2 linked regions of the Arabidopsis thaliana genome follow. The protein of the gene in region 1 interacts with the protein of each later gene in a biochemical or structural test. Each region holds a gene or a part of one and is shown on either strand. Other genes may lie near its edges.

What was found. Proteins that work in one complex are often made in the same cells at the same time.
Region 2: the proteins of ATG8D (region 1) and NBR1 form a complex in vitro, tested with the Arabidopsis thaliana proteins (one study listed by BioGRID).

Annotation. Positions count from the first base shown.
Region 1 is NC_003071.7:2,082,481-2,086,663, forward strand, and holds ATG8D (Ubiquitin-like superfamily protein), read right to left. Parts: upstream 2,403-4,183; 5' UTR 2,296-2,402; coding exon 2,259-2,295; intron 1,926-2,258; coding exon 1,819-1,925; intron 1,736-1,818; coding exon 1,711-1,735; intron 1,457-1,710; coding exon 1,401-1,456; intron 1,329-1,400; coding exon 1,276-1,328; intron 1,051-1,275; coding exon 932-1,050; intron 829-931; coding exon 731-828; 3' UTR 506-730; downstream 1-505. UniProt on the Arabidopsis thaliana protein: Ubiquitin-like modifier involved in autophagosomes formation. May mediate the delivery of the autophagosomes to the vacuole via the microtubule cytoskeleton.
Region 2 is NC_003075.7:12,739,300-12,745,186, forward strand, and holds NBR1 (ubiquitin-associated (UBA)/TS-N domain-containing protein / octicosapeptide/Phox/Bemp1 (PB1) domain-containing protein), read left to right. Parts: upstream 1-1,732; 5' UTR 1,733-1,891; coding exon 1,892-1,924; intron 1,925-2,282; coding exon 2,283-3,172; intron 3,173-3,261; coding exon 3,262-3,385; intron 3,386-3,488; coding exon 3,489-3,746; intron 3,747-3,923; coding exon 3,924-4,073; intron 4,074-4,165; coding exon 4,166-4,723; intron 4,724-4,801; coding exon 4,802-4,903; 3' UTR 4,904-5,371; downstream 5,372-5,887. Other genes in the region: MOS1 (modifier of snc1), read left to right, coding at 1-438; AT4G24700 (uncharacterized protein), read right to left, coding at 5,508-5,887. UniProt on the Arabidopsis thaliana protein: Autophagic substrate degraded in the vacuole by non-selective autophagy. Requires ATG8 protein expression to be recognized as an autophagic substrate. Acts probably as a receptor for autophagosomal degradation of ubiquitinated proteins.

The DNA of each region.
Region 1 (4,183 bases):
GCAGATAGAGAGAATTGACTAAATAGCCATGGATGAGGATCAAAAGGAAACGGAGAAGAAGCTAAAAAGATTAGATCTAATGTTTTTATCTTTATATTTATAGTATCTATTAACCGAGAAAACTGATCGGTTATGTCTGCCGAACCGAGAACCGAACTTCAATTATAATTTCGCCGATCGGTTTAGCCTTCCCTTCATAGTCGGTTATCAGAACCAAAAAAACGGTTTGTTCAGTTCGGTCATTGGGTTAATCCGAAATCCCAGGCCTAGTTTTTGCTGGATTGTACAGTAATAATCTGTAACAGATGATAATCTATTCTAGAGTGTGCACAAATTTACCTAAATCAAGTTGCTTTTGAAATCTAAATATTTATAGCTAAAGTTATCTCTGTTTTGTGTTCCTTAGAAGCAGAGATTGCAAGAGCTTAGAGATTTGACGGTCGAGCTAACTTTGAGAAGATAGAAATCGTAACGGTTCAACGACTAGTGAAATAGGCCGGGCCAATATTCAAGGAGGACACCAAGTGACCTCAACTATATATAGCGACTAAGTTTGAAATTAAGTGTAGCATAAAGCCAAATTAACACCATGAACGGAAGACCTTATCATGTTAATAACATAGCATGCAAGTTTCAAAAGCTTCGTCCAATGTCATGAAAACTAGAGACAAGCAGAGAAATAGACAGACTGTACATTGATAATCTGATGCATCCACATATTCCAAGCGCATTAGAAGAAGATCCCGAACGTGTTCTCACCACTGTAACTCATGTATAGAAACCCGTCTTCGTCTTTGTGCTCTTCATAAATTGCAGACATTATTGCCGCTGCAATAAAAGGATAACACTACTACTATTAGCTCAACTGAGAAAAAGATATGATTCCTTGAACTGGAAAAGTATATGATTAAGGAACGTGTTTGAAACTAACCAGTTGGTGGTAGAATGTTCTTGACAAAAATGAAGATGGCTTTCTCGGGACTGAGCTTGATCCGCTTCCGTACAACATAAACAAACTGGCCAACAGTCAAATCAGCTGGGACCAAGTACCTAAAGTTTTGAATAGTAAGTCAGCCAATTCATTATCCCTAAGCAACAAACCATGAAAACCAGAAATTCCTCCAGATCTTTCAATAAAAAAAAATTATTTCTATCCAATTAACCAATTCATTACTAAATGTGAGGGAGTGTAGGGTTCTCAGAAAAGGGCTTGAAGCCACTTTCAGTGAGAAGAAAGAGATTATATCCAACTCCTCAAGAGAAGTAAGGACTTACTTTTTCCTATCAATATCCGGGACATCACTCTTCTCGGCTCTTTCGACAATGACCTGCAACAATTTCAGAGAGAATAAGGCAAAAGCTATGCAATTTTCTTAAATGAAAATAGCCAAAATTCATACTGGTATTCTGTCTGGATACTTCTCCCTGATACGTGCTGCTTCAGCTTGTCTCTTTTCTGTAACATTCAAGAGCAAAAAAAACACAGATCCATCAATTTTCAACACATCAACATCCTCTAACCCACGTAAAACAACACAGACTCAGCGATAATATCTTAGGATTCCACTTGAACAGAGACTATAATGTACTTTGCTTCCTCAGCAAAAGTAGAACAAAATCAAAACATGTTTCAATCAAAGATTATGTACACTACTACTCCAGGCTCCAGGGACTAAAATAGTGATTCTAAGCCTCGTGAACAACACATACTCAGTGATAATATCTTAGGATTCCACTTGAACAGAGACTATAATGTATTTTGCTTCCTCAGCAAAAGCAGCACCAAATCAGAACATGTTTCAATCAAAGATTATGTACAGGGACTGAAATAGCGATTCTACGCCCCGTGAACAACAGAGACTCGACCACGGAACACAAGAGAGACAAGTGAAACTTAGTAACTTCAACATCAATATTCATCTCCACTTGAATAAAGATCATAATGTATTTGCATCAATAAACACAAAACTTGTTTCAATCAAAGATTATGCATACTACTTCACGAAACAATACAGAATCGGCGATAAAATCATTCAACATATAATTTTGCGGATTCTTATAACTGTTAACGCAATCAAAATTGAAATCGTTGGAAATCAGAATCAAGGATCAATTCATGCAAACTCAGAAGCAATTGAAATAGACGTAACCAGATTTTGAGAATTTTTAAACCTAGTCGCTAAAAAAATCCCTACGATGAGAGAGAGATACACAAAGATCAACAAGATTGATCGATTAGGTTTAAATCGAAAACGAACCAAGAGGATGTTCATGCTTGAAGGAGCTAATCGCCATGATTTTTCGCTGCGAGAGAGAAACAGAGAAGAGAGAAGCAAGGGTTTGTGTTCAACGTCGAAATTGGGTAACTCCAAAGAATGGAGATAGTTATTTGGAATGTTTATAAAAAGGGTACGCTTGGCAACAGATCTTTATATATTTAATTACTTAAAACTTAAGAGTTAAGAGTTAAGAAGTATTGAAATATTGGATGTATTAGGCCTGAATGGATATTTTCGATTCAGTTTTTGAGTTTAGATTTTAGTCTATAGATTTTAGATTTTTGTTATTATATTTTTGTTTTAAAAACCCCTAAAAAATTGGTTTTTGGTTTTTGAAAAAATAACGTTGATTGAGTAAAAACTAGATTTTCTAAACTTTAGAAAAACTAAAAAACTTAAATATGAATGGAAAACTACAATAAAATAGTTTTACTAAATTGTAGGGAAACCAAAATTTTAAAATCTTGATTGGTATTAAAATAAGTTTTTAAAAAACAAAAATCAAAAACTCTTACAAAATCTAAAAAACATTCAAGGTCTTAGTTTTTTTTTTTGGGTTTTGTGTAAAAAAATCTATCTATTTAACACTCTCTGTTTTTTGAAAAAAATAAGTTTTTAAAAGATTAATTTTTAGATTTTTTATGAAATATTTATTAGTTATTATTAATTAATTATAAACTTTGATAAAAATAATTGAATATTATTGATTTAAAGTTATAAAAAATTGTAAAATACAAAAAATAATACATTTAACAATTTTAATATGTTTAACTTAATATGTGTGTTTTTCCTAACCAATCAAATAAAAAAGAACAGATGAAGTCATTTTTTATAAGATAAACTATTATGTCAAATAAATGTAGGTTTGATATAGACGATAACTCTATTAAAAACATAAAGATTTAGTGTAAAAAATTTCTATGTAAACTTTTTTTGTAAAAAAAAATCTTCATATCAAATAAATGAATGTCAACACTACAATCTTAAAAATCACTCATAATATTATCTTTTTGTGTAGTGATGACATGACAACCAATAACTACATTAGAAAACATACAATAAAACAAGAGTATTTATAATAAATGACTATAGATTTGAAAAGAATGTACAAACTAACCTTGAATCACAGTATCTTGTCGGAAACATGTTGGAAAACACGTGTAATTACGTAAATGTCCTTTGTAACATGTTATTTTTCCGAAATACATGCGATAACATAATATCCTCTTTTTATCTTGTTATTTTCTCTTATTACATAGTATTTATTAAAAAGCACCTGGTATTTTTTGGAAAAAACATTCTATTCAGTTTAATATCTCTTTTTATCATGATATTTTGTAGTAATACACGTTTTTTATTAAGATCACACGTGATTTCTTTAAAAATATATTCCTATTTTTTAGTAATACATGGTTTTTATTAAAATCACATATAATTTTTTTTTTTTAAGATTCTGTTCACGTAAAAGAATTTCATAAGAATATTTTTTCTTAAAAATTCATAACGTTTTTTGAAATAGCATGTTTTTAAACTAAATATAACATGTGAAATTTTAATGTTACATGCTATTTTGAAAAATTACACGGATGTATTTCGTTTACTGTTCATCTTACAACAAATGAAGGGTAGATTTGTTATTTCCTTTCTTCCGACAACGTGGGATCCATGGTTATTTTGTAACAAAAAACTTTCTCTCTGCTAGTTTCTTAATTTGTATGTTTTATTTGGTTATCTACTAATATTACCCATAAAACAATATACACCAAAATTATTGAATTTTTATTTATCTGAAAATTTGGAGATTCATATTTATTTTTCATTGGGATCTTCAAAACTGTAAATGAATCACTTAAAATCAAACCAAGATTTTTGATCATGTGGAACACAATTCAACAAACACATAC
Region 2 (5,887 bases), on another chromosome or scaffold:
ACTACAGAACAAAAAACGACATCAGCTGATACACAAGCCCAGTTGCAAAACCGATCTACCAATAAGGAGGTCCAGGTTGAGCAAAATCCGAATAGTATGTTCCAAAAGAACACAGGGCAGGGTCGACGGTTTGGAAGAGGGCAGGAGTCACAAGGAGGTTGGGGTTTACCGGCGCAAGAGAATATGCACCATCACCATCAGAGGCCACCTTCAAACAGAGATAGACAGAAGCAAAATCTGCATTATGAATACAAACCTGTTGGGTCTCATACTTATGATGGAGAACGTAGTCGAGAACAATCGAAAGAGAGTTCTCAGACAGAAGGTCCAAGATACAGAGAGAAGGGACAGGGGCAGCAAAGGCAGGGTGGATACCAACAGCAAAGGGGTACTAGTGGGAGAAACGGTGGTCATGGATTCACTGGTGATAGAAACTAAGATTGGCCTCTTATTGTTATTTAGGTAGTAAGAGCTGCCATGCTGAGGATACTTGCATTTTGAGATATGGCGATTGAGGAAGCTAATTCGTAGGCACATAGCTTGGGAGATTGCTGAGAGGAGACCTATCCGAGGAGGTATTGGCAGATTAAAAAAAAAAAGTCTTTGTCTTGAGAGTTTATTATTATATGTTTCAGTCACTTGTTTGAATATGATTATAACTACTGTAGTAGCCTTTTGTATACACTAGATGAATACTCATGAGTATTTTTGTTTTTAAAGTTGCTTAAAAAAATATGATTATGTTTTTTGGTTGATTTTGATGTTCATTTTGATAAATTCCTATCTATTTAATATAATTTTTTTATTTTATGATTAGATTTATCTATAACTCGAAATATCAATTCTAGTATAATATATATATTTATATCTATTATTCTAATATTTTATTGTCATGATCACATATAAAAACAATATATGATATATTGATACAATGTATGCGTTTTGAAACTTGTCTAAATTAATTGTACAAACAATTATTTATTCCATATATTCTCTTGTCATCAACTACACAATCACATCATGATATGCTAGTAATTCAAGTCACACTTTAATTCTTTTCACTTGCATATAGCCATATAGAATCTCATATTTTTTTTTTTGTATGTCGAATGTCGAATGTCTCAAATGACTATTATATTATAAAATTGTATATCAATGTTACTAAGTTATTAGAACGCACCAAAATGTACAGAAAAAGTTCATATGATAAATTATATTCACAAAACGTAATAATAAGAAAATATCTAATTAAATTTACTAAATTTATATGAGGTTAGGTAGCAAACATAAGAGTTTTAAGAGTTTGGATTTTGGAATTGGTGGTGTTTGTTTCTCAAACTTCATAAATTAGAGTTTAAAATGTTTTTTTATTTTTTGTGGTCGGCATAAGAGTTGAAGTTTTAATAAAATAAAATAGTATCTGATCATTTTATTGGAGAAAACATAAAAGATGTAGTATTTTATAAGAACTCGAATTGGTCAATTTTCAAAATGTTAGTATGAAAAATAAAATATCTAGTTATATGTACTCGTATCTCTTGATATTTTTGGCTTTAACTTAGGGATGTTAGTTTGATTTGTCTTTCTGGATAAGCCAGTAGTAACCAAAAAAGTCAAAATCTTGTTGGCTAAGTCAGAAATTAATTAAATAAACAAAAGGGCCCATTAAATTAATTATTTTAATAAATATTCTGTGTAATGATATATAGTATAAAACGCGACCGTCTAAATTCTTGGTTGTTTACGAGAAAAGCGGATTACGGGTACGCTTCTTCTAAGATAAATCTCTCCCCGATTCTCTCTTTTTCTCGCTAGATACTCTTTTTCTTCAATTAGGGTTTCTTCTCGCTTGCCTTTTAATTCTCTCCAGCTGATCTGATCTCCGTTACCGATGGAGTCTACTGCTAACGCACTCGTCGTCAAGGTTAGAGATACAACCTTCCTTTCTTTATTTGCGAATCGTCAGTTTTCTCACAGTAATTGTCGGTGATTCTGGGTTTTCGTGGCGATCGTCTCGTTTCTGTTGATTTTGTTGCTTGTAATCGGTCCTTTCCTTTTGAATTTCGCTATGGATCGACTCTCTCTCTCTCTGTCTCTGTATTATAATCTTAAGTGTAATTCGAAAATTTTCCAGACATACTTAGCAGTATCTGCTTGAATCTTATACCCGAACAATGATTAAAACTATAAGTTATCGTAATTAGAATCGTAATCTATTTCTTCGACAATTTTTTTTCATTTTTTTCATTGAAGTGATACTAATTTTGTTTGTGATTATGTAGGTGAGCTATGGAGGTGTGCTTAGGCGTTTCAGGGTGCCTGTTAAAGCTAATGGACAGCTTGATCTTGAAATGGCTGGTCTTAAGGAAAAGATCGCTGCTCTCTTTAACCTCTCTGCGGATGCTGAATTGAGTCTGACTTACTCTGATGAGGATGGGGATGTGGTTGCCCTTGTTGATGACAACGATCTCTTTGATGTTACTAATCAGCGTCTTAAGTTCTTAAAGATCAATGTGAACGCTGGCGTGTCCACTAACTCTGCTGCTCCAGAGAGTAGTGGGAGTTCCACACCTGCGGGTATGCCTAACCCGGTTTCCAAAATCCAGAAGGGTATAAATGATGTTCTGATGGCTGTACCTAACCCGATGCGTGATACCATATCAAAGGTGTACATGGACCTTGCATCCAAGGCCTCAACTTCTAGTCCTGTAGTTGGTGAGATGCTTGATTGCATTTCCAAGCTAGGGCAGCTCTCAATTCCTCAGGAAAGTAGTCCTTGCTCACCTGTTACCAAGCCTGGTTCTTCAGGTGCTTCCCTGAGCAGGGATGTTCCTTCCGCTGGTGGAAAGAAGGATATCTCTGAGAGGACCCAGACCGGAAGGAAACCTGTTAATCTGAATGAACCCACTGGCGCTCATTCAAAGACTTCTGGTCATGTACCAAACTCGTCTGGACTGGGTGCTAATTTCAACGAGTGTCCCTTTAGTGGCAGTACCATGAATTACTCCTGTCCAAATCCAGTTAACCTCAACAAGCATCCTCGTCGTGTTTGTCATTCCAAAAAGAGCACCAATGGTGATTACTGGACTTCATTGGGTGTATTCCATAAGGGCATCCGTTGTGACGGATGTGGAGTTCTTCCAATTACTGGGCCTAGATTTAAGTCGAAAGTGTAAGGATGCCTTCTACTTACTACTTTAGAAACTATAAACATGCTAGAACTTATTGTGCTTATATGTTTCGCTTGTGAATATTGTGCAGTAAAGAAGACTATGATCTGTGCACCATCTGCTATTCGGTGATGGGTAACGAGGGGGATTACACAAGAATGGATAAGCCTGTATCCGTTCAACATCTGCATCCTTTTAGAGGACCGTTTACCCAAGTATTGCTCTTCTTCTAAGTTTATAATTACTTTTCTTCTTGTTTATTCTATGTGTCTTCTCTGATAGCTATGAGGAATTCTTACCCTTTTTTTTTTGGTATAGTTTCCTAATCCTTGGTTGAGCCACCCTGTGCCACGAGCAACCAATGGAGGTGCACCTCTCAGGTGTACTCGCCCTAAACTAGACAGTCGGTTTGTCCTTGATGTGAATGTAATTGATGGAACCGTTGTTGCTCCATCCGCCCCATTTACTAAGATTTGGAAAATGAGGAACAGTGGTTCGCTGGTGTGGCCACAGGGCACACAGATTGTCTGGATCGGTGGGGACAGGTTCTGCAACTCCTTGTCAGTTGATTTACAGGTTAGAAACAATTTCCTTAGTTTTCACTCTTTTAGCTCGATTCTTACCACTAACAGAGCAATTATGTTGTTTGAATTTACACTCGATGGCTTGAGTTAGGTTGTTTTCTTCACGAAGTGACTATAGCTGCTTGATTATATAATACTAACTGTTTTTTTCTCTCTTTACACATGGCAGATTCCAAAGGAGGGTGTGCCTATCTATAGTGAACTTGACGTCAAAGTTGATTTTGTTGCACCAGAGTTACCTGGTCGATACATTTCTTATTGGAGGATGGCTACCTCTGACGGTGCTAAGTTTGGGCAACGTGTTTGGGTGTTGATACATGTACTTACTAGATTTGTGCAGCTTCTGTCCTTTAATTCTTTGTCTCTTTCTATCATATGTGTTTGATACATTTTTTCTTTTTGCATGGTTAGGTTGATGCATCTCTGAAGAATTCTGTTGTGAATGAGTTTCATGGACTGAACCTTAATGCCTCCCCCTCCCTTGATGAGAATTTTCCAAGCGAATTTCTAGGGATTATGAATTATGAGTCAGCTCAACCTGGCAGCTCCAGTGTCAATCCTGGGACCGTGAAAGGTACTGATCTAGAGGGCGAAGTTGGTGAAACACAGGCCGTGGAAAAAGAAAACCTTTTGGTTGGTGAAGCTCATCCTGCTATCCCTCACGGTCATTCTCCTTCATCTTCATCTTCTTCATTTAACATGGTCGACTTCCCAAGCATGCCTGCTGTTGAGGTCTTGTCTGGTGGTTCTTCATCTACTACAAAAGACGTGCCAGTTCCTCTTCAGGAGGATATAGAAAAGAATGACGTGGAGATAACCATGCTCAAGGAGCTCGAGGAAATGGGTTTCAAGGAGATAGATTTGAACAAGGAGATCTTGAGGGATAACGAGTACAACCTGGAGCAGTCTGTTGATGCTCTTTGTGGAGTTAGCGAGTGGGATCCAATCCTAGAGGAGCTTCAGGAGATGGTAAGTGTGTCTGCACTTGGTGAATTTATTAAATCTTACTTTGCAGATTGGAATGTTGAAAATATTGTGATTTTGCAGGGCTTCTGTGATGATGTGACGAACAAGAGACTGCTGAAGAAGAACAATGGAAGCATCAAAGGCGTGGTAATGGATCTCCTCACAGGGGAGAAGGAGGCTTGATGAGCTCTTTGGTTTCTGGCAACTCTTCTCTATCTCTCTTATCTATCAGGAATAATTATGTTTTATAAATAAAACCTGATCTCTTAGTTTGGTTTCGTGCTGCGTCACATGGTCTGTTCCTTTGCTTTGTGTTGGGATGATGTTACTATGTTAACTCTATCTAAGACATGGATGGTTTCTTTCTTATTTCAGTTTAGTTTATGTCGTTCTGCTCCTCGGGTCAAATGAATGGTTGAGTCTTTTTTATTGATTTCATCACTTTAGGCCTTTTTGGTCTCCATTTCTCAGCTGTATTTGGCTTAATGTGAGTTTGTGAGAAGAGCTTTCCTTGAAACAACGTACTGTTTTAATTCACATTTACCCTCTCATCTCTCTCAATCAGGTGACATTTTCACGTGGTCGAATCATCGGCATGGCAGTTGCAATTAGTCATGGTGGTCGGCTTCATTAAACTGTTTACAACTGACAAAACTTTGTTATTCTATCCATAGAAACCATTCAAAAACCAATAAAAGTTTTTGAATAGACCAATAAAAGACATTCATAATTGATTTCACTTTTTGAGAAAAATTTACAAGTTTGAAGTAGTAACATGATGAGTTTGTTAGAATCTCTTTGAAGACGAACGAGTGAACAAACTCCTAAGGCTGTTTCTGCTGTCTCTAGTTTTCTTCTTCTTCATCTTCTTGAGGCCATCATTATCTGAAGAAGAGAAGGTTTGTTCTTCTAAAGTGAGTTCGCGTTCCAGTTTCTTAGAGACCGAAAGAATCTCGTAGGGATCCCACAGCGACTGTCCGAATTCCCAATCCAAAAACGACGGATGATGCTTTGCGGACAAGGCTTCCGTTTTGAAACGTGATGCCTTCCCTTTGACAAAAGCATGCTTTCTCTGCGCATCGAACTCTAAAACAGTATGTTTTGAGGTTTGGGAGTGGCTGAGCCAAGCCTGCGCAGCTGCCTTCATCAACTCTAGTCTCTTCTTCT